Oryzias latipes: one gene and its partners. The protein of the gene in region 4 purifies or fractionates together with the protein of the main gene of each other region. This does not show direct contact. Links are inferred from orthologs where the notes say so. Each region holds a gene or a part of one and is shown on either strand. Other genes may lie near its edges. The genes, in order: ybx1, ythdc2, ltv1, larp7, nat10, srp9 and lin28b.

What was found.
Region 1: the proteins of larp7 (region 4) and ybx1 purify together in Homo sapiens (affinity purification with mass spectrometry; 5 studies listed by BioGRID and IntAct, with this or other methods). This does not show direct contact. The link is inferred for Oryzias latipes from reciprocal best matches to the Homo sapiens genes LARP7 and YBX1.
Region 2: the proteins of larp7 (region 4) and ythdc2 purify together in Homo sapiens (affinity purification with mass spectrometry; 3 studies listed by BioGRID and IntAct, with this or other methods). This does not show direct contact. The link is inferred for Oryzias latipes from reciprocal best matches to the Homo sapiens genes LARP7 and YTHDC2.
Region 3: the proteins of larp7 (region 4) and ltv1 purify together in Homo sapiens (affinity purification with mass spectrometry; 3 studies listed by BioGRID and IntAct, with this or other methods). This does not show direct contact. The link is inferred for Oryzias latipes from reciprocal best matches to the Homo sapiens genes LARP7 and LTV1.
Region 5: the proteins of larp7 (region 4) and nat10 purify together in Homo sapiens (affinity purification with mass spectrometry; 3 studies listed by BioGRID and IntAct, with this or other methods). This does not show direct contact. The link is inferred for Oryzias latipes from reciprocal best matches to the Homo sapiens genes LARP7 and NAT10.
Region 6: the proteins of larp7 (region 4) and srp9 purify together in Homo sapiens (affinity purification with mass spectrometry; 3 studies listed by BioGRID and IntAct, with this or other methods). This does not show direct contact. The link is inferred for Oryzias latipes from reciprocal best matches to the Homo sapiens genes LARP7 and SRP9.
Region 7: the proteins of larp7 (region 4) and lin28b purify together in Homo sapiens (affinity purification with mass spectrometry; 3 studies listed by BioGRID and IntAct, with this or other methods). This does not show direct contact. The link is inferred for Oryzias latipes from reciprocal best matches to the Homo sapiens genes LARP7 and LIN28B.

What each region holds. Positions count from the first base shown.
Region 1 is NC_019865.2:7,798,218-7,802,502, forward strand, and holds the start of ybx1 (nuclease-sensitive element-binding protein 1), read left to right. Parts: upstream 1-1,485; 5' UTR 1,486-1,621; coding exon 1,622-1,733; intron 1,734-3,275; coding exon 3,276-3,339; intron 3,340-3,565; coding exon 3,566-3,599; intron 3,600-3,688; coding exon 3,689-3,778; intron 3,779-3,847; coding exon 3,848-4,129; intron 4,130-4,285. UniProt on the Homo sapiens protein: DNA- and RNA-binding protein involved in various processes, such as translational repression, RNA stabilization, mRNA splicing, DNA repair and transcription regulation.
Region 2 is NC_019882.2:18,466,502-18,470,001, forward strand, and holds part of ythdc2 (probable ATP-dependent RNA helicase YTHDC2), read left to right. Parts: intron 1-559; coding exon 560-677; intron 678-923; coding exon 924-1,050; intron 1,051-1,282; coding exon 1,283-1,348; intron 1,349-3,500. UniProt on the Homo sapiens protein: 3'-5' RNA helicase that plays a key role in the male and female germline by promoting transition from mitotic to meiotic divisions in stem cells.
Region 3 is NC_019859.2:3,981,398-3,985,513, reverse strand, and holds the start of ltv1 (protein LTV1 homolog), read right to left. Parts: upstream 2,801-4,116; 5' UTR 2,601-2,800; coding exon 2,598-2,600; intron 2,091-2,597; coding exon 1,959-2,090; intron 1,844-1,958; coding exon 1,646-1,843; intron 1,220-1,645; coding exon 1,132-1,219; intron 898-1,131; coding exon 765-897; intron 1-764. Other genes in the region: histone H2A-like, read right to left, coding at 3,865-4,116. UniProt on the Homo sapiens protein: Essential for ribosome biogenesis.
Region 4 is NC_019876.2:11,528,903-11,533,202, forward strand, and holds the start of larp7 (la-related protein 7), read right to left. Parts: upstream 2,801-4,300; 5' UTR 2,674-2,800; intron 2,275-2,673; 5' UTR 2,274-2,274; coding exon 2,066-2,273; intron 1,987-2,065; coding exon 1,886-1,986; intron 805-1,885; coding exon 721-804; intron 627-720; coding exon 462-626; intron 381-461; coding exon 296-380; intron 1-295. UniProt on the Homo sapiens protein: RNA-binding protein that specifically binds distinct small nuclear RNA (snRNAs) and regulates their processing and function.
Region 5 is NC_019864.2:14,876,447-14,880,736, reverse strand, and holds the start of nat10 (RNA cytidine acetyltransferase), read right to left. Parts: upstream 2,801-4,290; 5' UTR 2,743-2,800; exon of another isoform or gene 2,645-2,742; intron 2,515-2,644; 5' UTR 2,505-2,514; coding exon 2,391-2,504; intron 2,312-2,390; coding exon 2,220-2,311; intron 2,130-2,219; coding exon 1,958-2,129; intron 1,810-1,957; coding exon 1,687-1,809; intron 1,612-1,686; coding exon 1,550-1,611; intron 1,459-1,549; coding exon 1,344-1,458; intron 653-1,343; coding exon 545-652; intron 396-544; coding exon 262-395; intron 176-261; coding exon 82-175; intron 15-81; coding exon 1-14. UniProt on the Homo sapiens protein: RNA cytidine acetyltransferase that catalyzes the formation of N(4)-acetylcytidine (ac4C) modification on mRNAs, 18S rRNA and tRNAs.
Region 6 is NC_019882.2:390,040-393,419, reverse strand, and holds srp9 (signal recognition particle 9 kDa protein), read right to left. Parts: upstream 1,984-3,380; 5' UTR 1,878-1,983; coding exon 1,806-1,877; intron 1,729-1,805; coding exon 1,660-1,728; intron 793-1,659; coding exon 673-792; 3' UTR 501-672; downstream 1-500. UniProt on the Homo sapiens protein: Component of the signal recognition particle (SRP) complex, a ribonucleoprotein complex that mediates the cotranslational targeting of secretory and membrane proteins to the endoplasmic reticulum (ER).
Region 7 is NC_019882.2:6,943,544-6,947,043, forward strand, and holds part of lin28b (protein lin-28 homolog B), read right to left. Parts: intron 3,254-3,500; coding exon 3,057-3,253; intron 1-3,056. UniProt on the Homo sapiens protein: Suppressor of microRNA (miRNA) biogenesis, including that of let-7 and possibly of miR107, miR-143 and miR-200c.

The DNA of each region.
Region 1 (4,285 bases), on a different chromosome or scaffold from region 4:
AGTGAAGCAGTACAATACCAGGTTATAACAACTAAAAAAATATGTGAAAGGAATACACACCCTACATACAAAACGTCCGATCTGAAAAAAATCTCTTTTTTTCAAGAAACACGGAGATTGTTTCAAATATTCCAGTCAGTGCTGGAATATTTTCTATATTTCTATTTAATATTTCTCAAAAAAGGGCAGGATTGTCTTGAAAGTTCACTTTAAATATGGAGTTATTCTTGTTCTCACCATTTAAGGCAGGCATGTCCAAAGTCTGGCCGGTCCAAGGTGGGTTCAGAAACCTGTCAAAGGTTTCTTTCTAGATCTCTACAAAGTCTGGCCAAATGCAGCCCTCCTGAAAGCCTCTTCTAGCCTGCTGGTACCTTTTATAAAAATAAATGTGCTCCCAGGAAACTGTGTATGATTTCTTGATTATGATTGCCTACTTTATAAACCATTTTAAACCTATGGCAACACTATGATGTGACCCTTTTGCAATACCTTTTAGCTCATTTCTAAAATGTCGACTGTAAATTTAACAAATGTTGACAATTGGGGGTCGCTGCTTTCAGGACAAGTAGAAATTTGTGTATTTTTTTCAGTAAGATACTAAACATGCAAGAGGCTGGATGTTTTCAAGAAATTCAATATCAAGAGGGACTACAAGACAAGACATCCCAACTATGCCAAGCTAACTAGGAAAGAATGGTGCATGGTTTTCACATGTGAAATTCACTGTCATTTTGTTAAAGATTTATTAAGCTCTTCTTTTGTTCTATGTGTAGAAAATACAATTAATATGCAATAAGCATTTCCCTTAAACAGTTCATGTGCATTTAATGTTATAAGGGTTCAAAGAATGCAGGTTGAATGGTTGGTCCTCACAAATGTTCACCTCACAAAATCTAATTCTCTTTGCAAAAAGTCAAATCTAAAAATTTGCAGATTGGATCTTTTGTATTTTGGTTATCAAGTTTGGTTTTTGATGTTTAATCATCACTATTTACAGGTAACAACCATTCATTTTAAAAGTAAAAATAAAAAAGCAATATTGTGGATGTTTTTTTAAATTTACAATATATTCTGATTCTTTTGTGGGAGTCAAACTTTTTGAAATTTTACATAAATTGTTAGCCTCCAGCAATATTTAAAAGTAGGCTAATATTTCCTAATAATGCCATAAAAATGTTGTTTAACTACGGTTTTAAAAGGGGTTTACGTGGATCAACACTAGCTTTATGCGTCTTTTTTTTTAGTTTTATGCATCTGACACATGATTACAATGGGGCGGTGAAAACTGACAGGTACGGTACCTTTAACCAACCGTTCGTGAAAACGCGTCGCTTCAACTAGACTGACAGTAGTCTAGCCAATCAGAGGACGCCTTTTTTCTGTGACGCATTCAGTCAATAATTCCAGCCAGTGAAAAGCTCGAATGGGCGGGGCCACAACCAAGAACATTCCCCAACACAACTACTGATTCTGCCCAGTTCGATCGGCAACGGGAGCGGAAAGAGGAAAGCTGAGAGCCCGAAGGCAGTAGCCCCCACCACCGCCGGCCCACGTTACCATCTAGCACCGGGAAAAATAGCAGAGAGCCGCCGCCGGCAGAAGCCATTACCAACCAGTAACTATGAGCAGCGAGGCCGAGACACAACAACAACCACCGCAGCCTGCTGCCGATGATGCGGAAAGCCCATCCAGCCCGGCAGCTGCAGCTTCCGCGGGGGATAAGAAGGTCATCGGTAAGACTGCCGACTCCACTTAGCTAACTAGATGCTAAACGTGGTTTATGTTGCTGTAAACGAGACAGAAACAGCCGTTGAATTATGTTAATGTAAAATGACCGTTACGATCAACTTTATTAAGTAGTTGGACGTTAAACCGTACGTCGAATTGTGATACCAACTGTCAATATAATTATACATTTTAAAAACTGTCAGTTGGGAACGGTTATTCATTAATAGCGTATCATTCTCATTAACTATGAGATGTCACAAGTTTAGGAAAAATCCACATCTTAGAAATGTAGTAAATAACCACTTAATCCATGATTTTCTGTCTTGGTGGGAAAACATTTGCGAAAAAGAGACGCATGCATCCAAACGGCCGTCACATGGATGATCGTAGGAGTAATTTATGTCAGATCCAGCATGTTTACTACCAGACGTTGCAGACCTTTATCTCTCACCGTTAACCGCCAAAAGTACGAACAAAACCCGAAAAAATGACGAATAAATGTTTTAAACTTGGAAATACCCTGCGTTAGTTCACACTAACAAGTTCACCGGCAACTGACGCTAGCTGCTTACTATCCCTTTGTTCGCACAAGTGTCGAATCCCTGTATTCTCTGTCAAAGCTTAAAGGTGGTTGTTTTCAAGTTTATTTTGTAACTATTAGATATATTCAATAATAAACGCTTTGGGATTTGTATTCAAACCGTCCTAAGCTTTAACTCGATTTTTTTTTTACATTTTCGGTGAGGCCTAATTATTTCACGATAGCTTTCCAGTTGCTAACGATGCTAATGTTAGCCTAGCCAGCTAGCTGGCTGGCTATTTACATGGCTGAAAAGGCCACCCAAAATGTCCGCCGTTACACGATCCGTTTATACGTTACAGTTCTATTCTAGCTCGGTTTAGGTACTAAAAGCGCTTGCTTAAGTAGTTTCGAAGTAACATCTGTAAGATGTTGATGGGTTTATTACGTTGGTTTCCGCTTTTTGGCTATACTCCAACCACATGGTTGTAACTCTTAGCTACACGGCTAAGCTAAGAAGCCAACTCGGCTTGTTTTTCGGTCTGTCCGTGTGCGACCCTACCACGTGTGAACGCTCACGTCGTGAACTGGGCGTCTTAAAATGGGGCAGTAGGTCTTTAATGTCCGAGTTCTCTAAATGCAGTTGCTAAACGCGAGGTTACTTGTTTTGAAGTTTGACGTGTCGTAAGCTCTGTTCCCCGTGTTATCCGCATTCCTTCCACACATTTGCAGTCAATGTAATTGGACTGTTTTCTACCATGGCCGGAGCTTCACACCGGGAGCAGCTGGCGCCAGGCTCTCCTAAGCATCAGCATCTATAATAAGCACGACAGTTGGAAGTTATTTTTAACGTCCACACTATGGCTAGTTTTTTCCTGCACATATCTTATTATGTGCGATGCTTTGACTGTTCCCAATCTATTATCATATTTTCAAAATTTCATTACTGCTATTCTAAAATTACCTTTGCAGCTTAGAGAAGTAATATTGACACTTGATAACTGAGTTGCTCTGTTTTTCATTGCAGCAACAAAAGTCTTGGGTACAGTCAAGTGGTTCAACGTCAGGAATGGATATGGTTTCATCAATAGGTAAATGACCACCTCCAGCGTTCCCAATCCTATTATGATTATTGCTTTGCTAACGTGGCTGACCTGATTATTTTTTCTAGTGGTCTGCATGCACACTGTAACCTGCAAGACTTCATTAATCCTTGCACTTGTTGGCTTAGTTGCAATCTGTCTTCAGAGGTGTGTTGTCTTAGTAAGTCATGTGTGGTATAACTGAATCTTTTTATTTTTTTCTCTTTTTGTTCAGGAATGACACAAAAGAGGATGTTTTTGTACACCAGGTGACCTATTATTTTCCAAACCTTTTGGAAACTTAAAACATTTTTTTTTTATTTCGACTAATTCACTTTTCAATTGTTGATGATTTCAGACAGCCATAAAGAAGAACAACCCAAGGAAGTATCTTCGCAGTGTTGGGGACGGAGAGACTGTGGAGTTTGATGTAGTTGAGGGAGAGAAGGTAATGTTTTGGGAAGAATTTGGTTATGTTTGCAGGCATGTTGTCAATTTTAAACTTATCTGTTAACAGGGTGCAGAGGCAGCAAATGTCACTGGCCCTGGAGGGGTGGCTGTCCAGGGAAGCAAATACGCTGCTGACAGGAACCGCTACAGGCGTTACCCACGCAGAAGGGGGCCCCCTCGTGGAGGAGAATACCCAGAGAACTACCCAAGTGATGGAGAAGGCGAGCCTGGCAACGGAGTGCGTGACAAAGGAAACAGAGACGGGGGAGAAAGCGCCCCTGAGGGAGAATCGCAGCCACAGCAGCGCAGACCCACTTACCCCAGCAGACGACGCTACCCACCATACTTTGTACGTAGACATTATGGTCGTGGACCCCCGTACACCAATGCACCACGCGGAGAAATGACTGTGGTACGCGGTCACCAGGCTGCTATCCAGAAGTAGGCAACCAGTTGTACCATGACAGTCGAGACACTTGCTCTTCTCCCAACATGCTCCTTGGTA
Region 2 (3,500 bases), on a different chromosome or scaffold from region 4:
CTTCCATTCAGCTCCTGAATGCACCTCATGCTGCGGCAAGTGTTACTATTAAATCTGTGCACTGTGCAATAAAGTCAGAAAAAAATGTTTGAACCAACTCTGGTTGGATGTTTGTTGTAGCAGCAGACACTTAAAAGTCATGGTTGTGAGTTTGAGCCCCCTGACAGAAATGTTAGGCAATGCTTCACCTGCCAAAGTGAAACTGTTTTCTACCCACCACATTGAATTTAGAGCCCTGTTTTTAGCTATGAGAAAAACAATATCTTTACTTTGAAGTAGTAGATAATACAATGAAGGTAATTTTGGAGCCAAAGTGGTGATGTTGGCCATTCTGGTGTAAAAATCCAACACTTGTTTTCTTCATGTCCATATGAGACTTCAAAGATGCTTTGTCTATAATACTTTTCTGATTTAACCCCAAAACCAAGGTCATGGCCAAGAGACATATACCAGTCCAAATAGAGAGATCATCAACCAATGTCTCTAAATTGATTATGTTAAACTGAAAGAAGGAAAGATTATAACTGTCTTATTGAAAACTTCTATCATTCTGTTGTAGGGTGAGAAGACAAGGCTGCAAAGACAGATAGATGCTTGCATCTCCAAGCTTTTTTTTTATGAAGACCAAGAGATTTTCTGTCAGCTCTTCAGTCTAATCCTAAATGAAGGTGTTGATGGTAAGACTCTCTAGAGTGACCTGCTACTGTGTGCTCTTTACTGTATTCAATTATTATGGCAGTTTGAAATGATTTCTTTAGAAATTCCTCTTGGAAGTCTTTATTTTAAACATTTCTTTTGTTCAGGACCTAGATTTTGCCTAGAAGTAGCACCATTGTTTTACTTTTTGCCCCTGGTTATGTCTTCTGTGGTGGTCGTACCCCTGGAGCCATGTTTATGTTTTTTCCTTGTAAACTGTTCCACAGTTGACTGCTCACACAGTGAGACTGGTGCTACACCTCTGATGATGTCAGCAGCCCGAGGATTTGTCACACAGATGCAGCAGCTGCTTAGCATAGGTGCTGACCTCAACAAAAGGGAATCAAATGGATGGTACGACCTCAGTGTCTTTAAAGTTCTGGTTTCCTTCTTGATCTTTCACTTTACAAATGGATCAGTTTTCAGTATGTCAAACTTAAGACCATTACATTGATGTTCTAAGATGAAAGAAATATGGTTTTTGATACCAATAAAGTAAGCAGCAGTATGAGCTTCAAATCTAACTCTGAAGCCACCACCAGCCATAAGTTGTACAAATCTGCTGATTGCCATTTTGTTGTTTCAGGACGGCTTTGGACTTTGCCAAACACTTCCATCAAACAGAAGCAATAGATCTGCTCCAGTGTTGCAAGTGAGCCATTCCTTGATCCTAATTAGTTTCAACAAATAAAGAGCACGCTTAGCACTATCTCTGTCCGATACAAATATATGGCAGTATTAGGATCCTGGCAATACTAGTATAACAATAATGGCAAATTCATATGAAACCTTTGGTCCTTTCGAGCCACTGTCTTGCTTGTATTTCCCTCTAACCCTTCCTGTTCTTTTGAATACCTATATTTCAGGGGTACCCAATACTTAGATCCTTCCATTGCAAAAAAAGTGTGAGAAAATCAAAGGGCATTTAAAATAAGCAAAAAACATTTAAAATATATGTTGTTTTTAAGTAAGCCATTCGAATGTCTTCTGATATATACAGTGGGGAAATAACTACTCAGTCAGCCACAAATTGTGCAAGTTCTCTCACTGAAAAAGATGAGATAGGCCTGTAATTTTTCACATAGATAAACCTCAACTATGAGACAAAATGAGAAAAACCTATGTGTAAATGATGGTGGTAAATACCGTAATTCCCGGACTATAAGCCGCTACTTTTTTCCTGCGTTCACAGCCCTGCGGCTTATTCAGTGACGCGGCTAATTTATGGATTTAATTGGCGGCCGCCATGTATGTACATTTGGACTCAGTGAATAGTTTGAATTTTTTATCTAACACTAAGCACGAGTCATTTGTTTTTCAGCAAACTAAGTAGCCAAACAGCATGGACCTCACTTCAGGACTTAGACACTTCAGTCATGGTTCAACAAAAAGAAACACGCATGCCCGGCCGCATCCCAGAATCCTTTGGTGCCATTAGACCCAACGTGCACGTGATCGCCGCTACAATATGATGCAGCTTTCAAGTTAAAAGCAATGGTTAAAAGCAGCGTGAAAAAATCCACCATCACCAACGGGTTTGGAAAAGCCGGTCAGCTGTGTGACGGAGAGAACAGCGCATGCTCAGGAGTGAATTTACCTCTGAGTCATAATGACTCAGCTGGCTGCACGTAAATATGTGGGAATAACATCAGCCTTTATTTTGTCGGGACACGACTGGAAACACAAATCCACGTGGTCGTTTTAACGGTTTCTAAGGACTGACCGGAATTTTGCATTGAAAAGCTCACAGCCTCCGTGTGAGCTGGAGACATGTTCTCCTGGCTACTGCTCGTTCACATAGAGCTGCGGGGCCAATGGCAGTCTGAAGGCTCCCACACGTAACAACGCATCCGCCCCTCATCCACAAAACGTACAGTTTTAAGTCCGATTGCTCTGCACAGACACGATTTGCTCCTCCCTGGAGCCGCCCTGGCCAGATGTGTCGGAGAAGATAGGAAGGGGAGCGCGCGCGGCGAGCGCGGAGCTCAGAGGCGTCCGCGGAGCTACAGTGTTTGTTGTGAAAGGAAACTTCTGACGCACGCGCCACGCTGAGGCGCGCGCTTTTCAGTCGCCGCTGCTTTATTTTACTGCTGTGTGTTTTTTTAACCAGCCCTGTTACTCCCATAATGCTGCCGCGACACAAGCGGAAGGAGAGCTGTTCCTTTTCGCCCCTCCATCCACTGCTGCTATTGCTCATTCTTAAACACGTACAACAGTGAGGCGAGCCGGGCGTTGGCCCCGCCTTTTAGCCCCTAAGACTCATGGGAAATGGGGGATCGTGAATGTAAATTTCCTCATCATAACTGAGGGATGTAATGTTGATTATATGGTTACTGTTTGTAATTTTATGTGTGATACCTAGATTGTCAATAAGTAAAAAAAAAAAAAAAAATTAATAAATAAACCATAACTGAGGAACTTGTGAACAGAATAGAGGTCCATGCTGTTTGGCAGATGTGGGCACACTCAAATACATGAGCTTGAGGCAAGGCTGACTCCTCCAACAGTGAGGTAATGAACCTTACCTATTCTGTGAGTCAGGACGAGACATGCGGCTTTAACTCCGACGCGGCTTATGTATGTTTAAAAATAGTTGAACACGCGAAAATGGGTGGGTGCGGCTTGTAATCGGGTGCGCTTTGTAGTCCGGTTTTTACGGTAAGTATTTGGTTACCTACAAACAAGCTAGATTTCTGTCTCTCACAGACCTGTAACTTCTTCTGTAAAGGATCCTCTGTCCTCCACTGGTTACCTGTATTAATGTCATCTGTTTGAATGGTTATCTATATAAAGCTACCTGCCCA
Region 3 (4,116 bases), on a different chromosome or scaffold from region 4:
TAGATGACCCCACTCCCAATGTTAAAGTGCCTAGGATAGCACAATGGTTACATGCATTAAAACACTTTATAAGGAAAAATCCCCACCAAGTTGATTTTGAATATGATGATGAATATTTATGTATGTAATGACTGGACCATGGCTGTATACAGGGCAAAGGGGGAGAGGGGGGGGGGGGGTCTCCCTCTAAATGCAGAGCCTCCACCACCCCAAAGTAATAGCCGGCAAAAACCCCTAAAAGCTACAAATAACCCAAAGAAATCAACAAATACCACAAAATACACAAAAACACAAGGTTGGATGGACAGACAGTCAAAAAAGCTATGATGACACTAAAGCTACAATCGCCAAACTTTCTCACATGACTAATTATCACCTTTATTTCTAGTTAACTATTTTCCCTTTTTTTTGTTCAAGCTGCTTCACGGAGGTGAAACGCTTAAGGGTTCATCGGTGTAAGGAGGTGAAAACCTGGATCTGTTTATTAAACGTGTTTGTTTTTTAAATGTAAGACCGAACGACTGGATCGGGACTCGGTGTCAGCAGATCCTCAAAATCAAAATGACACGAATCAGATCGGAACATTCCTAACATTTAAATGACATGTGCTGTTAGAGCAGCATCCCACTGTTTAGCCGATGCCATCTTTGCTTGAAAACTGAAAGGAGAGACATCAGAAATCTTCAAACTTCTCTCCAGAAAGCTGCTCAGATGGAGTTAAACCAGCAGACATTATTATTTTAAGATATTTAGAGTCTTCTCACTCTGTTTCTAAGCCTCCCGCCGGTCCGTTTGCTTTTGTGATAAAGTCGTCATCCAAAATGTTGTTGGGGTTTTCGTAGTCAAAGTCGTCATCGAGGGCAGCAACGATGTCGGGGTCCATATCCAGGCGAGGTCCTGAAAAAGAACAAAGAAACCGCAAGGATGAGCACCAGTTTTACACAATATTAAGCTTTAAAAAATAAAAGTAATCAATCGGTTTGATGCAATTACACAGGAAAGGTTTTACACAACAACTCCAAACAGATCATGATGTCAAAGAGCTCCAAGGTCCACTGTTCTGCTCAGATCCACGGATCTCTAATCTTTCTTTTACAAGGAGAATCTGCAGGAAAAAAAAAAGAATTTTACCAGAAATGGGAGCAGCTTTGTTCAGGAGTCCCACCTCCTCTTCAAACTCTGAGGCGAACACAGAAGAAGGCAAGTGCAGCGTGGCAACCTGATCAAACAAAACACAGTTAGGATGTTTCCTACGATTTGATCGTACTTATAGATCTTAAAATACAATTTAATTGTTGATGGTGACACTTAAACACAGTAGATCAGTATCACATTTGAGTTGCTGCTTATGATGTCAGACTTTTTAGCTTCCACGTTGACATTCCTGGGTTAGGAGAACGTCTAGATCACATTGAAAACACACTACATCTAGTGTGTAGAAATAAAGTTAAAGCAGCTGCAGATATTTTACAGAGGACAAGGATAATCTCCTTGAAGGTGAACAAAAGGATAAAAAAGAAAGACATCTGATGCCTACTTCAGCTTTAAACAGGCCAGTCTGTGAAAACATTGTCCAACATTAAACCTGTCAGTGGTCTGAAAAATGTCAGGCCCCCTGGTTTAGAGGATTTCATGTCTAACTCACGGGACTGTCTTCCTCCTGCTCCATCTCATCGTCCCCTTCATTTAGGAACTGAACAGATCCTCCATCACGGTTCGATGAAACAGCAGCAACCAGCTCTGACTGGCCGGATGGCTCCTTCAGGTGCTGCAGGTAATCGTAGTCGTCATCAAAGAAGACACCAAATTTCCTCTGCTCCTCGTGTCTCTTCTCCGTGTCCACCTGGACAAAACCACCATCCAAGAAGTCTTTTAGAAACACAACTATTACATCACATGTCCTTATGCAAAGTGGATTAAAAATCAATAAATATGCTTCTACATAACAGACAGAGCACCTTTGCTGCAGGAAGGAGGACATGTTGTGGCGCTTTCTCGTCAGCAGCCAGGGGATCCCTCTGACTGCGGTGGACAAGGTGAAAGGTCACGGCCTTCTTCTTTTCAATGAAGGCTTTCTTCTTTCGATGCGGCTACAAAACACACAAAGGCAAGTATTCCATGAAACGCAATATAATAAAACTGAATCCAAGTATATTTGGATTAATTTATGAGAGTATCAAGATAAAGTAGGACTTTTATCAAAAAACAAACAAAAAACCCTCCGGATCGTATATCATTTGAAATATTTACTCAGGGATAAAATATAACAGAACCAAAGAGTAATAAATATCACAAAAACCACAAAAACAGAATTACGGAATACTGTTATTACCTAGTTAATCGGCTTCCAAACAAAAAAGTAGAATAAATTCAGACTTCATAAATAAACCCAGAATAAGTTAGCTAAAATTGTTATGTTAATTTGTTCAAAATGAAAGGTAAAGAATAAAATAACACTATTCTTAAAGTGAATCCTGCATAAAACATGCAACCTGGTAAAATAATAAAAATCTAAATGATTTTTAGTAAACAGTTGCAGTAGGAGTTGTTAGCTAAAGCTAAAACTGTTAGCTAAGTAAGTACATGTGTCTCCATACCATTTTTTATAGCGCTCTTTTTTCTTCCGAAAAAGCTGGTGAGGTAAATCCTCCACAGGCAAACAGTAAAACCACAAAAAAATGTAACAATAAAAGTACAATCGTTCTTTGGCAGCTACTTTAATTCTTGATCGGACACGCTAGTTTGTTCGTGGCCTTGTTAACATCGGATCGGGGCCATGTGGGCGGGGCGCTTTGCTGATCTCCACTGTGATTGGTTGGTATCGGTAAAGAAGGAGTGTCTACCCTATGGTGGACACGATCGAGCAACATGCTGCTACTGATTCAAGGAAGGGACCATTTGGAACACGATGAAGGGGTGAACCGATACGATTATGGTCAAGCAAAAAACCTGCACGAGACCCATTCTTATTATTGGACCAGACATAATCATATAAAGAAGGCTCAAGGTTTAATACTGATTTTAAATAGCTGCTGTATTGTCATTTGTACAGTTTCAATATTTGCTGTCTAAAGCTTTAATGGAACATCCCTTTCTTCTTCGGGTTTAGTCGTGGTTCATTAACAGTGACCTGTTGCACTATCGCCACCTATTGATTAATTCAAGAAAACCTACATGGATTCAGGGGCCTGGTTGAGATGATTAAGAAATGTAATGGAAGCCGATCATTCAATTTGCTTAATTGCGATTTTTAACGTCAGTCATGGTATTTCACCCACTTCCAATTATATTTGCACGATTTCTTTTTTATAAATGGCATTCTTAAACAGTTTGTTAATTTCTTTTCAATTTTGTCAAATAATCATGGGCTAAAAGCTAGAATTCGAAATGCATAACTTTATATGTGCAAAAAAAAAAAACTTGACCCAATGCTTTTGAAAAGCCTTAGATACTAAAAGAATTAAAGACCAATTATGTTAGGTATGCAACGTCAAGTCAACTTTATTTTCACAACTACTGTATACACACACACACGATATACAGCACAGATTAAATGTCTGTCGACTCAGTGCAAACAGCTTTTCTGTAAAATTTCTATAAAAAATAAAAAGCGCTTGTGAACCACAGAGTATAGGTAAAAGAAGCTTACAAAGCTTATCAACATTTGTATCAGAAGATCTTTCTCGCAGGGCAGTTTCTTCAGTAAAGAGAAATGTGTTAAGTAAATCCTACAAAGGGTTTAGAGACATTAAATATGCCAGGTTTTATGTTTAACATAGCATATAATTAGAGGATGATGCTTTGAAAGAGAGACGTGTTTGGCTCTTAAAAGAGCCGTTGTGTTGTTGGTGGATCATTAAGTATCTACTTGGTCTTGGCGGGCTTCTCGGTCTTCTTGGGCAGCAGCACCGCCTGGATGTTGGGCAGCACGCCGCCCTGAGCGATGGTGACTCCGCCCAGCAGCTTGTTGAGCTCCTCGTCGTTGCGGACAGCCAGCTGCAGGTGACGGGGGATGATCCTGGTCTTCTTGTTGTCGCGGGCGGCGTTTCCGGCCAGCTCCAGGATCTCAGCGGTCAGATACTCCAGCACGGCGGCCAGGTACACGGGGGCTCCGGC
Region 4 (4,300 bases):
ATGTCTAGCACAAATGCTTTTAAAAACAAAGAAGGCCCTCGAATGTTTAGGAGCTTCGTGTCAGCTTTCATACAGTTGCATTCGATACTTAAACATAAAACAATGTTTGCAGACACAGATTTAAATAAATGAGTTAGAAAACGGAGAGCAGACAGAGAAAAAGCAATGGTATTGGAATGAAGCAGTCAAGCTGAACCAACAAACACCTTCTTATTGTTATATACAGAGTCTGAATGAGCTGCTCAGGCCAACATACAGTGATGTGTGACATAGCACTGAACCAGCACTCTCTCACCTGTAACAGGAATCGGCTTCCTATTTAAAGTCTTGGGGAAAATCCCAGGCTTCCTGGGTGCATCTTCAGGAGGGTTGTTCAGCATCTGTTTTCAGAGATAAAATATACGTTAAGATGGAAAAAAAAAATGCTTTCCTTAAGAGGAAAAGTGACACGGATAGCTCACCTCTATTGCTTTCTGCGCTTGTTCTTCATTCTCAAATTCAACAAAGGCAAAACCCTTGGAGTCGCCCGTTGTCCTGTATCTGGGAATGCTCACATACGTCACATTCCCGCATTTGGAGAACACCCTTTCTATCCAGCTGTGGGAAACATCCTTGGGCAGAAGTTCCTTGGAAAATTTGAAAGAAAATCAGTAAATATGTGTAAGGCTTGAATTATGTTTTTAAGCCAAGCGAAGGCGACAACAGAAGACGTCGTTTTACCACGTAGACAGTGCAGCTGTCGCTGTTGATGGGTGGGTCACCAAGCGGCTGTTGACGTCTTACTTTGTTTCCCTCCAGGTTAACCTAACACGCAAAAGAAAAACGAAACCCAACTCATTCAAGGGGCCGAAGTGAAATCAAAGCTAGAACGAACTGCTAATAAGGCTGGGAGTGGGGTTAAACGGCCTACAGGCGCCAATCACACCCACCCTCGCTGTTCCCTTTTGACAGCCCTTACTGGGCGGTTGCTACATGCTTAAAATAAAAGCAGTTCATTTAAAAACAATTCCTTATATATCTATACAAAATCATATTTAAGAATTTGATTTATTGGAAGAGTATGGACACACCCTCGACGTTTAGCTTTTGAGAGAGTTACATTTATTGTTAAAAAAAAAGAAAAAACCTTCAAACTTTAGTGGAATCCTTATAGAGGTTTTTTCTCCTTTGTGTATATTTTTTATATATACATATTACTTTTAACGCCAGAATTGAAATGTTTTGTTGTGATGTTGTTTAAAGCTTTGAAAAAACAATGACAATAAAGATATAAAAAAAAGGAAGAATTAGATTTATTCAATATAACTTTGTGTAAAACTGATACTAAAACATCTTTTTTTATTATTGTAATTTGGTTAATATTTTTGGCAGGATTTAAATGATTAGCTTTCAAAAAACACAACAAAAAAGAAATACTTCATTTTTGCCTAATACTATTCCATTTGGATCTTTATACAAAGACAAACATATTTAATTCTAAGTTAATTATTAGATCATTTTAGGAATTTTATTTTTCATTAATGGTTGTTTTTTTAACTTCACCCCAATTTTTTGCTTTATAAAAAATACTTAAATCTAATCTTTAATTCCCTTTAAAAAGTAATAAAGCTATTAAACTCAGATGATGTATCTGTTTATTTGCCTTTTTTGCTTTTCATTATTTTTTTTAATCGCTGTTTTTATTATTAAATTGTATTCCTTTTTTTCTCTGAATTTTATTTTTACTGCATTTGGATGCTGATGTCTGCTGCTTGGTTTTTGTTCCAGTTTTGTATTTTTGGGAGGTTTTGGTTTCCATGGAGTTTGTGATTTTAACCTACTACGTCTTCTGTGACTTTGGATTAGTCAACAAAACACAGCCCTGCATCCAAGTAACAACATTTACCTCAACTAGAGTGGAATTTTTCAGCGCCCTGGCAATGAGCTTTGGATCCGTTGTCAGCTTCTTCATTCGATTGAAGCCCGTCAACACAGATATGTCAACATCTGAAAGGGGATTCACACGGAGGTTAGAGATCCTAACCCCTGGAAAAATCACACTATCCTCATCTTGACGGCTCCTTACATCCATCATCAGACTCCTCTATAATCTTTTTCAGGAAACGGTCCTTGTGGAGGTTTGCATCTCCAAACCAGAACTCCACCTGCTTCTTCACGTCTCCCAGCAGCTGTTTGACCCGGTACCTCTTCTTCTTCTCTGTCTCAAGTTTCAGCTTGTCGCTGGGTGCAGCGGCAGCACCGCCTCCACTTGCCTCCTTGTCTGTGTTAGTCATCCTAAAAAACAGAATCCCACACACTCATACAAAACCAAAATCCTGATTTTAAAAAATCTCCAAAAATAAAACTAAACCACATAATAGGAATTATCTTACTATGGTTTATTGTTTATTTGCTGCATTTGAGTCTTGGGGTTTACACACAAGACATTTTTGTAACCATAACACAATAAACAAATCTCATTCATATGTAAAGCAAAAAAAAAAAAAAATTGAAAAGCGAAAACAATAGAATTTCAGCAAAAACAGCTCTTAAGCCAAATCACGGCTGTACGTCCGACTTTTTAAAACATGTATTCAGTAGTATTGTTGTTGAAAATAGTTATAAAAGCGAGCAAAGTTCCGCTTAACTGTCAATAAATTACTTTTAAAAATGTAGTTATTTTTGCAAACTTACCTGAGTAAAAGATATTATAAACATCAATTTAATACTAACATAACAAAAAATACAAAAACACTGCGGCTAACGGACAAACATCACAGAATATTTCGAATGGAGACGTCGCACAATGATGTCGTCACAACTGTCCGCCAGGACGTTTATTCAACTTCCGGTAAGTTCTATTATATTGAGACGTACAAGAAAATTCAGCACCGATTAATGTGAAGAAAAAAAAATAACTTCATACTTTTAAGGAAAAAAGAAAAACTCAGCAACATTTTTAAAAATATATTTATTTAAATTTACGCAAAGTAGCAATAGAAAACATTCATTTCAAATGTAAACGAAATACAGGTAAAAAGATAGTTTCCAATCCAAGAAGTACACATTTATTTATTTCTGTTGTTTTTTTGTCCTCTTTTTTGTGTAAACTAAACTACCCATGTCTTTATGTGACATAAGTAACTAGTTTTGATAAGTGACATGGTCAATCTACCTATTAAGACGGTTAAAAAAAACAATAATAATAATAGTAAATAGTAACATGGATATGCCGAGATGTCGTCCTCGTAACAATTTTATTCTCTGTGTTTAAATAACGCGCACGGCCGGTTAGCTCAGTTGGTTAGAGCGTGGTGCTAATAACGCCAAGGTCGCGGGTTCGATCCCCGTACGGGCCAACATGTTTTGTATTAATGTCTGAGGTTATATGGTTTATATTTTTTATGACGTGATGTTTTCCTGGGCCCTGTTTCAGAAATGAGGTTAAGTGTAAACTCTGAGTGCGTTAACCCTGAAATCAGGGAAACCCTGGGTTTTCCGTTTCAAAATGGGAGGTTTGTTAAACCGGAGAAAGCAGAGTAAGTCAAACCCGTTTCTGAAAGATAGGTAACTTATACTCGGAGTCAGCGTCCATAGTTACTTACGCTGTGAACCTAACCTGGTCGGGAGCAGGTTTTATTCTTTAAACTCAAGGTTTCTGCCGGTCCCCTCCCCTTTTTAAAGACGAAGCGGTATTTTTCGCTTTAACCTTCATTGCCCAAATTTCAGTCACACAGAGACAAGTGACAAGAATGGCTTGTCCTTTTTTGGAGGACCCAATAGACGAGGAGGCTGCATTAATTCGTAGAGAATTACATTTACGTCGTGCGAGGATTTTGAGACCTAGACTCGATTTTTTGGCATTTCCCCATACGTTTTTGTTTGAGCGTTACCGTTTTTCGTTGCAGTCAATTACATATATACAATGAAAACAACATTAGATATGTATTGCTATGTAGATGTTTCATATGTCAAATATTGTCAACAAAGCCTACCTCCATGACATGCTCAAATTTGACCTGATTGAATTATGTTTTTATACTTCATTTTTAGCTGCTGCCATGTTCTTTTAATTCCTGCAGGATTATTGCATCTACATGAAAATGAAATCAGGGACATTGAATTAGATTAATGTAACAATTACTTTTTGGAAACACAATTTGCTAGCACTGCTTACTTTCTTAATCCCATATATACCACTTGATCAATACAAGGGTAGACATAAGGTCACTTTTAAAAACACAATTGCATGTATTAATATTAAACTGACCAACGTTTGCAAGAGGGGAAGGTTAACAAAAAATTCCTCTAAACATTACCG
Region 5 (4,290 bases), on a different chromosome or scaffold from region 4:
TAGTCCAGATGCTCCTGCAAATGAGAAGAACATCAGGTGAGAGTCACTGTCCACCGACAGAGAGAAGATCTTAGCACCTACCTGATACTGCAGAGCATCAAAACCTTTGAAGATGAATTCAAACATGGTGTGGAGGTTGTCTGGGCTCGGAGAAGTCACGAAGATGTTGGAGTAGCTGAATAAGAAGAGATGTTTGTACAAAACAATTTTAAATGTGAATCTAGAGTTCTTTACGTGGGGCTAAACAAAAACCTCATGTACCCAAAGGCCACAGCTCCAGCGACAGACAGCCCCATCGCAGCAGACTTCCCTCGACCTCGAGCGGCAGTCAGAGCCACGGTGCTCCTCAGGGTTTTCTCGGACACAGCTTCGATAAACTTCAGCACCGCCTTTGCCTACGGGATGACGCGCTTCTTAAAAATTACAATTCAAACCTTCTTAAGCTCAATCCCATTCAAGTTTAACTTCCTACTGAAACCCCTCTGTATGTTCAGATCTCTGCCATCAAGATTATCACCACCCATGCTGTTAGAGGTGACCTGACCTGATCCATAGTCCTGCAGCAGTCCACTAGAACCCCGACAGGCTGAGTGTCCTGAAGAGACTCCTTCAGATCTTTCAGCTCTTGCTCTCGAGGAGACAAACCGTCCTCCTGGAGAAGAGAAGGTGATGGCTTGTCAACACCTAAAGACCTTGGTAAAACAAACACTCCAAAAGATAAACTTAAAGACCCACTCCAAAGAAAATGTTGAAATTGTTTAGTAGCATTTTTCTCACGATGCAGGATATATATGTAAACAAAATTATACATTTTTGAGTATTTCTTTATACAAATTGTTGTGAATCAGAAGCAGATAAAAAAAAATGCCGTTGGACAAAGAGTGCATTTGTGAAATATAACACAATGAGCGGCGCACAAGCTCCCTGCTAGTCTGATGCCCCCACTTGTAAACAAATAGATTCCTGTTATTAATAATTAATGTAAGTAAAGTTCAAAGTTTACATGGTGAGCAGAAAAGGAAGTCTCCCTCTTGAACATCACTTATGAGTGCTCTAGAGAAACAGCAGACTCCAAAAATCGTAGATCTATAGGGAATTTTTCAGAATTCCCCTGAATTTAAAGAATACAAAAGCAGAATCCTAAAGCATCATTAAGCATAAACCCTTTTTTTAAAAAATAACAAAGCGGTTTACTCAACGTCAAGTCATTTCAAACATAAATGAAGTTGAAAAAACGGAGTAAAACAAGCAAAAAATATATACATTTGGTTTTTCCTCATGTATTATTACAACCTCCTCTTAATTAACTAACGGTATATTAGTTTCCATGACAACATTTGTACCTGGGTCTTTGGGGGAACTGGCTTGATGTTTGTCATGTGGCTGGAGACTGGAAGGATGTTAAGCTGGTCGTCAATAACAACACAGTTTTTACAGGAGGAAAGTGAAAGTATAAATCTGAAAAACACAAATTAAAAGACACTATGAATATTTTTTTCTGCAACTAAGAAAAAACTCAAAAAAGGGTAAACAGAAAAAAGAACCCAACCTCTCGTTGAACCTGCCCACCACGTCTTGGTGAGCCTCAGTTCTGTATCGGGCGTGCACGTCCTACAAAGAAAAACAGGAACTAAGATAATCCGAAAACCAACCAGACGACGAAGGTGAACGAAGATCACAGCTTACCATGGTCATGGTGTAAAGCTGCTTGAGAGATTTCATGGTTCGGAGCAGAATGACGATGATCCCACCTCCTTCCACCGTTTCGATTGTTCTTGCCAAGAGATTGGGAGTGAGAGCTTCAAAGTCCTGAGTAGTAGAAAAAAATGTGTGAAAAGACTACTTTATTTTCCAAAGACTTTGGTTTCGAGCAAACACCATGAAGAAGAGAATCTTTGGTTCACATTGGCCTAAACAAAGACCAGCTCTATTCGCGAAAACCATAGAGATTTCTCACCTGCAGGACACACATGCCAAAAGTGTTTCCCAGGATCTTGTGCGTCTCGTTGTAGTAACAGTAGCGGATGTTGGTGGCAGCAATGAAGAGCTCAAACGGGTCATCTTGATTCAAATTCAGGGTGCCAGTTTTAATCTTCTTCTGCAGCTGTCTCATGCGCTTCTTCCGATTGCTGTTCACATTCATTGGGACACATCAACAGCTGCCCTCCTTTCCCCCTGCAGACACTGCAACCACCTGTCTGGATGGAGTCTCTACTTACCTGCTAAAGCCCAAATCTTTTTTATAGCACCAAAGCACCGAGGGTCGAGCTCTGACAGCAGTTTTAGACAGCATGTGATGCAGGATCACGACCTGGATCAGAGGAAAACGATGACTAAATATGGAGGAAGCTGCTGAATCAGACTGCTAACTAGAGGAATTGATGATTGACCTGATCTTTGCCGCGATCTCCCACAACCACAAACATGGTTCTGTGCTTTAAAGCGACCCCGTTCTCTATCTGGACCCGGATCCGATTGTCCACCTTCTTGCGGACTGTCGCCATTGTCGCAGCGCTGCAAAGAAAAAGCATTAACGCTGACTACTAACTAAGACATACAGGAGGCCAGCTAGCAATTCCAGGTAATCTGTCAGCAAACGAGAACAACAAAACCGGATTGAGAAAACAAACTATTGTCCGTTTACCTTCTGTTAAAGTTTCTTTTGTTGGTCGGAATTTAAAATTACAGAAAAACTCAACAACAAATCAAGCAATAAAAAAAACACGCTGTTGATACACTCACGTGGAGACAACAGTTCATGAAGGACCCGTGGATGACGTCAAAACTGCGCGACAACCTCTCTCTCTTTTTTCTTTTAAATTAACAAAACAGAAACAAAAAAGGTGATAGACGGAAACAATAATAACAAAGAAAAAGTCTTTCCTAGGACATGCAAACTGTTTGCAGAAGTTTTAGGGAGCTCGTTTTAACCATCTGAGCAATTATCTAAACACGAATTAGCAAAAGCTGCGAAATTCCTCGAGGAAGTTTCTTAGGTTTCCAGATAATGAACAAAAAAAATCTATTTTATTCCCACTAAAGTGCAGTTTATTTTTAAAGAAAACATCACCATTCACTTAAAAAAATGCCATATCTTCGTATACAATTTGTTTTAAAAATTGTTGAAATGCAAATTTCAAGTAAACTACTATAACAAAATAAAAAATAAATGTTGAGCACAGGACAGAACCACAGCTTTTGAGGTTATATTGGGTAGAATACTGATACTGGAGGAATTTTTAAGTTATTGGACACATTTAATTTGTAAAAATGTAGTTCTTAAATATCACAGATATGCAAGTTGTTTTTTTTGCTGGTAATTCACTTTTCTTCTTAAAATCTAACCTTTTGTAAAAGCTTCTGGCACAGAGTGTACTGCAAAAGTGGAAGTTTCTAAGAGAATCTTTTTAGCTCCTTTTAAAAGCAATAATAATTATGTAAAGATTGTCAACAAAATAAAATTGAAAATGCTTAAAATGTTAAAGGATAGCATTCCAACTCACCCTGCGAACAACTTGTCCAAATTACTGATTACTTTTCAGCAAGGTGTATTAAAGGCTTAGACATATAGTTTCATCAACTAACAACTTTTTCCAACATTTTCCAACCTAATTTATAATTTTATTTAACTTTTACAGTATTTCAGTTCACCTGTCAGTCTCAGATATGTCAAGTAAAGCTTAGATATCCTACACTTGCCACTTTCTGCATTAAAGTTATCCTGAACCACATAAATGTTAAATGTAAACAAATGCAGAACTATCATAACAGCAGACTCAGCTTCACAATAAGAAATACAAACAAACATTTATCCTGGTTCATTGCATCTTTGAAGAACAAAATGTGATTAAAGAGCAAGAGTATGCAACACAACTTTATTGAAACTCTTGAAGCAACATCAATTTACAAACGAGGAAATGAGAGTTCTTGGAAAAAAAGTGATTCGACTTTTTAACCAAAATGACAAAACTGAGATACGGGAACAGCTCCCATCATTTGGACCAGCAGTAGCAGGTGAAATAAAATCATTCATAAAATCCGTCAGGGTTTTCAGGGACTCTAAACCACGTGGCTTTTGTAAAATCAAATACCAGATCTACAATCGGCCATGTGTTTTAAAGTCTGCATGTTTTTTCCCAAATATCAAAGAAGACATTCCTTTGATTTATAAAAGAAAAGGGGGAAATGCCACTGATGATGTACGATAAAAAAACACCAAAAGTGAGCCAGGGTCGATGCATTTCTTGAATTTTAGTTTTCAGTGTGGTGCAAATTATTCAGTCAGTCATT
Region 6 (3,380 bases), on a different chromosome or scaffold from region 4:
TCTCGATTACTCGGTAGCTGTCATGTTGTCACGTGACTGCAAAGGGGGCGGAGCCAGTTCCCTTCTCAGGGGAAACAGTCCAGAGTTCTGGAGGTGAGGCCCGGTTCTGTTTGAGGCTGCTCTGGTTCCAAACATCTGTCCGAATTCCTTCCCTTGTAGTGCCGTCAGAATCCACAATTCTAAAATCCCAGAAATTTCCCAGAAGTCTCTGACCACATATAGACCACAATGCATTGCATCGGAACAATTTTTGCCAAAAACGTATTTTTTTATAAACCCTCAACGTTTTCATCTTCAGAAGACCGTGGACTCATAAATGACCGTCACCTCTGCCGTTTGGAAACCAGTGAGCGTAGCGTCCGACCAGCTGTTAGAATCCAAGCACTGCATGGTTTTATAGAGGTTAGGGCGGGAAAGCGGGCAGGAGCGCAGAGCGCCACCTTCAGGAAAGTCCTGACAGCAACGAACCACCAAGGCTCTGATGAAGCAGGAGGCAGGAGAGCAGCTGGAAAAGAAACTTTAATACAGAAAAGAGTCCCAGAAAAGGCCTGGGGGGGCAACGCCGCCGTTTCAGTCACACAAACAAAGATATGATATAAATATAACCCCTCCCCTGACGCTCCATCAGGGCAGGACCCCCCCCCCCAAACACATCACAGAGCATCCGCAGCATCAGTCCGTCTCCATGGCGCCGCTGTGCGTCTCCTTGGAAACCATGAGTCTCATCAGCTTTCCGTGCAGCTTCTCGATCTTCTTGACGTCCTGGGCCTGGTCCGTCTTGTACTGGAGACACTGGAGGCGGAGACAACAGGTGATGGAGAGGACGCCGCAGACGGTGGCGAGTTTATGTCTGAGCGGTTGTCACCAAGCGCCAACCGCAGCTGTTGTCATGACAACAGCATCTGTCCTCCCATAGGGGGAGGGGCTCACAGTGACTGAGGCTCACAGGACGTTTCTGGCTCCGCCCCTCAACCCCTTTCTAGCGTCAGCGTCCAGCAATGGGTTCTGCTGGAACTGTCGAGGGCGGAGCTTAGTGCCACATCTGCTCCTGATCACAGAACCACTGTTCTGGAATCCCGGATCCGTTCAGAACTGGAACCAGGATCCCAGAACAGAGCCGGGCTTTGGACCCAGATAGACTCTGACCCGACCCAGCTGCTGTGCTGAGAGGAGGTCCGGAAGCTCCAAGAGAACGTCTTCTAACTTCCGGAACAGTCAGCCGGTCATTAGCGGCGTTTCTGTTTCAAAATAAAAGTCTGAAATAAGAAATGCCTGAAACGACCTGGAGTCTGTTTCCTGACTGAACACTATGAACTGATGAAGAGGAGTCAGCTTCTGTGATGAAGGATTTGAACCAAACAGCTGAACTTCTGCTTCTGGTTGAATAATTAACGTCACGTCATCCACCTGGTCACGGACTTTAACCGGTATGATTGTCTCACGTGCCTGTTTCTGTTTACAGCAGACTTCTTTCCACGCGCGTGTCAATAAACGCCTTTTTTCTTTGGACACGTGAACTTATGCTACGAGGGTTAAGGAAACTAAACCGATGGCATTTGGAAGAAGCCGTGCGCGCCCCCATGGCCGTCCACAGCACACCTGGATCAGGTCTACAGAGACCGGATCGATGAATCCAGACCCCCCACCCCAGAAACCTACCACGGCGTTGTCGGTGACTTTGATGCAGAGGCTTCCGTCACAGTGGCGGTATTTCAGGACCACTCGGACCTGCAGACACTCAGCTTTAGACCCCGCCATGCTAGCATTAGCATGCTAACGCGCGTTCCCGGTGTTCAGCGGCTCACCTTCATAGGATCCGTTAAATACAGTTTCTCTGCGGCGCGAGCGAACTCGTCCCAAGTCTGGAAGACCGGCATTTCGATTACTGCCAGTTAGATAAAGATTGAATCTGAAACTTAGTGGTTACCACGGAACACCACATCAGCGTCAGGAAAGCAGGAAAGAGAAGGCGGAAACATCCGCTTTGTCTTTTCAAAACAAAACAGGTAAAGGTAAAAAAACACATTTTTAAAGATATGTTTTTAACAAATTTAAAACTTACAGTGTTCAGTGTTTTGGACGTTCATCGTCCTGGTTGGTTGGGAAAAAAGTCACTGAAACGCTGTGGTTTAAAACCTTCAGGCAGATTTAGGCTTTTACTTTGGAAATATTGAAAATAGACACCCGGAAGTCTTAGTTGAGCCAAAGGTTATAGGGCCATATAAATAGGGATTTTCGTTTTTTATTTAAATTGGATGAAATTTTAGAACAAACTAAAATTTACATGCATTTAAAAAAATCTTCGAGACGCGACTGATGGACAAGAAATAAAATAGAATAAAATGCCTTTATTGTCACTATACAGTGTAAGATTCGCATCACACGCGCATACAGTGAAATGAGAGCCAATCACTGTACAGTGCAGACATGCATAAGAAAAATAATTTCACAAAAGAATGTACAATTTACAAAAGTACAAAAATGTACAAGAAACCATTTCGCTGAAAAGTTTTACTTTCCGCAGTGAAGCAGGTATTGCACTGCTGTGCCCATGATAGCAGAGATATACTGCACATAATGAGAGGAGAGAGAGGTGTGTGTGCGTGCGTGTGCGTGTTGGTGTGGAGCTGTCAGTGAATGTGAGTTCAGGATGGTTATGGCTTTGGGGAAAACTGTTCTTAAGGCGGTTTGTCCTCGCTCTGATGCACCTGTAGCGCCTTTCTGAGGGCAGCAGGTCAATAGATACCAAAAGTCACTTCTGCAGACGTGCTATGCAGAATGTAACGTGAATGTTTTTCAAGCACACTGTCCCGGCATAATCTGTTTATTTTAAACTCTTCTAATTATTTTTATTTGTGTTTGAAAAAAAATTGAAATGAGAATTTGAAATAGAAAATAAGCTGATAAAATATATGTTCCTAATAATTTGAATATTGAGATAATTTTATTCATGTGGTATATTTACATAAACATTCAGCTAAATGTAAAACCTTCACTGTCGAATGTTCTGCATTCAAGTTTAAGGCGGTTAAAAAGTTCATCTTTTGGACACCAGAGGGCGCTCACGTGTCACGGAGAAAGAAGCACAGGAAGACTCCTTTTCTCCCGCTCCTCTTCATCAGGACACGTTTTTTGGATAATCCTGTCTTTTGTGAGTGAGTGGGGTGGGGTGTGTGTGTGTGGGGGGGGGGGGGGGGGGCATTCATCAGTCAGTTCCCCCCCTCCAATGTATGTCTGTTGGATCTCAGCAGAAGGTCATTTGGCCCGTTTGTTGGATCCTTCACTGTTTGTTGAAACCACAGTGTGCACGCGTGTGTGAGGGCGTGCGTGTGTTCGCAGCCCCAAACAGGCCCCATCTCTGCTGCTTTTCTTCATCTGCT
Region 7 (3,500 bases), on a different chromosome or scaffold from region 4:
CATATTCCCCTCTCCTTCGTTCTTACCCCTTTTTTTTCCTCATTTATTTAAGGTATAGATCCTTCCTTCTCCTCCTGAGAGCAAACCTTGCTCCATAAACACACATTGAAGACTTTTCTGTCCATCCAGCCTCTGAATCTACATCCAGAAATTCTTTTTTATTATCAAAATCGCAGATGCTCCCGCCGGGTTGGAACCTAACTGACAGATTTTAATTCAATTTTTCAAAATGCGAACATCTCCCACTGCACCTGGAAATACTATCTAAATAGCTTTGGGGCTGCAGGCAGAAGAGGCAGAGAAGGAGGAGCAGCCAAAGAAAATGAGTGGCTGCCTTAATGAGGGTGTATGTGAATCCATGCAAAAGAAATGAGCTGTTTTGCATTGAGTACGATGATTTGCTTCTAAATGCGTGTCCTCTTCCCTTTGTTAACTAGGACAGCTGTATCCATGTAAACACAACACTGGGATGTAACTGCACCATTGCAAACAGGTGATTTGTTAAATACTGGTGTTTTTGCCTATGAATAGCAAACTGCATTTTTTAATATAAATGTGAAGCAGCAAAGTGTGCCACGTAGAAAAATGCAGTGCATGTGTCACCATGCATTAAAAAATTATCTCTCAGTAATTAATTATAGTCTTTCAATTATTTTAGACACTCAAAGTATTTCCAAATAGTTTCAATAGTCAATAACTAAAATATTACATTGTTTTTGAAAAAACCAACTACACAATTTTCTTTAAAAAAATTCAGTTTAGTAAGCATTTCTCTGTGTCATTTCTTCTTAAACTTAATTTTCTCCCTCCAAGTCCTCCATCATCAGAAAATCACATTAAAACACAACAAACATCATTTTATTAAAGTGGGTCTGTTTGTTCGCCACCATGCAAGGCATAAAAAACCTTATTAGTGTAGGCAGGCAACATTTAATTACTATAATTAATTTAGAATAAATAACTAGTTCTGTGAAAAGTTTCAAATTGTTAAACTGAATTGGCTTTTGAGAAAAAATCTGAAAGAAAAATCAATGGATATTGAATTAATTAAATCACATCCTCAATGTGTGTATTTGTAATGGATCTACTTTAAAATGTTGCCGTTTTATTTAAATACAGTTATTTGTTTTTATTTGTTTATTGCCTAATTGAATCTTTTAGACTAAAAGTCAAACTTGGCTTTGAGGTAAAAACTTTTTATATTTTGAATGTTTTTGGATTTTGAGATCGAAAGTTACAACAAATTGCTGCATTTTTTTTCCTGCATCCCCTTCAAAATAAATAAATCTGCACAGTTTGAGTGTTTTGCAGCTCAGCTCCTTGGCCTAAGCCACCTCCACAGCATCCCTGGCAAGCAGGGACGCTGTTACTTGGATGCGGTGCGTTTAGTCGAATGAATCACAACATAGCAGCACAATGATGCAGCTACAACTGTATCTGTTGACATGCACAAACAAATGTTGACAAAAACTCATAAGCGTTTTAAGCCTCTAAAAATAAAAAAGGTACTTTTTATCTATATATTACCCCAACTTTTGCAGTAGACTTAACAAAAAAAGATCAAATAAATCATATTTGGAAATATAAAGCTGAAAAAAGGCTGCTTGATAGTGAATAAATGAAATACATGTGCAGTTTGCAACTTGCTTGCATTTATTTTACCTGTCCCTAATGCTCTTCTGTATTGCTTTTCTGCTCTAAATCCTACAAAAAAAACTGAATTCTAAGAAGATAGTCTCATTAAATGAATTTTTAAAAAGATAATAAAGGTTATTATAAATCTAAGTGATGATGTTATCACTGACCACACCTGCAGGTATTAAGTTGATTAAATATTTCAAAGTCTTTGCATCCTTTCAGCTTCTGTTAGTTCCTTTGAGATTTTTTTTTTCTTTTTTTGCTTGAAACACAATATTAACAGATAAAATGTACATATCAACAGTTTCTTTCTTGGTTAATAAAAATGTTGCATTGATTATGATGATAATAAAACCCTAATAGGGTTAATGGAATAAGTACTTTTGAGATTTAAGGAATTTATTTTTATTTATAATGAATTTGGCTGAGAGAGAAAAAAAAGATTTAATCCTAAAAGTATTCAAATTATACATGCACATAAGTATTTATTTTCTGTGTTTTTGACATTAAATTCATTAAATACTCAAAAATACTGCATTTAATCAGTTACCTTAAATTCAAATCAATTTTATTTATATAGCCCAATATTACAACAACATGCATCTCAATGGGATTCATACCGGTAATTGTATAGTAAACAAGAAATCATACAGAACATGAAGTCATAGAACTAGTTAAAGAACTTATGCAGCAATTTGTTTCTTCAATTTTTCTTATACAACTTTAAAATGCAAAATTCCAAATATTTGAGTCAATTACAATCTATATAATTCCAATATCCAAGTTAATAATCAGTGATTCCCTCTGTTCTTAAAACCAACATGACCCCTCGTGTTCAGTACATCTCCCCTGAGTCTGCAAAACAGAAAACGGTGAGAAGAAATGCTGCTCCCTGTTTTTGTCACAGCCACTTCATGGAATCAAACATTATGTGAGAAGAAGAGGAGCTGGAGGAGAAGATCTTGCTGCTTATTGTTTGCTATGGAATAAGTAGAAATAGAGGCCTCTGATAAATAAACTCTACATAGAAAAACAAACAGAAGCTTCTAAAAAGCCAGAAAGGGGAAACGTTTGAATCTGTTAGCTGGTTGGATGTCAGGCTCTGCTGCAGGCAGTCACACAGCACTGCTTCCAGTCCCCCAGCAGTGCAGAGGGAGGCAGGGGAGGGGAGGGGAGGGGAGAGCTGATGGTCCAAAGAGGAAACACTTTTTCTTTTTCTAAGCATTGGACAACCTCAGATTACACAGCAACTTGTTGAGCAACACAAAACATCCAGATGATACAAAAGTCACCCCTTACTGCTGCTTTGGTCGGAACTGAGGGCCCTTGAAGGCATGGATGGGCCCAGTTCTGAGAACTACACACACACACACACACACACACACAAGGATGTGTGCTGCTTTTGTGTTTGAACTTACTTGGTGGACGAACACATCCAGAGGAGGCTCCACTGGGCTCCCCTCACTGTTGGTCATTGAGATAAATCCAAAACCCATCCGGACGTTGAACCACTTGCAGAACCCGGACCCGGACAGGACCTGAGGTCGAGTCCTGTCCTCCTGCTCGGCAGCTTTAGCGGGCTCCTCTCTGACTCCTCCACCTTTCGCCGGCCCTCCTGGAAGAAGAAGCGCGTTAGACCAACCGAGCCTCCCTGATCACTGGGTTCTGCACGACCTCTCCGGGACGCGTGGGGGGAATCCCCTCCACCCTCAGAGCGAAGTTCACGGACGGTGGAAAATTCGTATTTTCGACTCTACGTAAAAACAATCCGGGACGCGTGGTGCGCAGCGAGCGACGTCCCCACAATAAAACAAAACAAAACAAAAAGAAAAGTTGGATCTCCGTGACAGATTGGGAGGCGG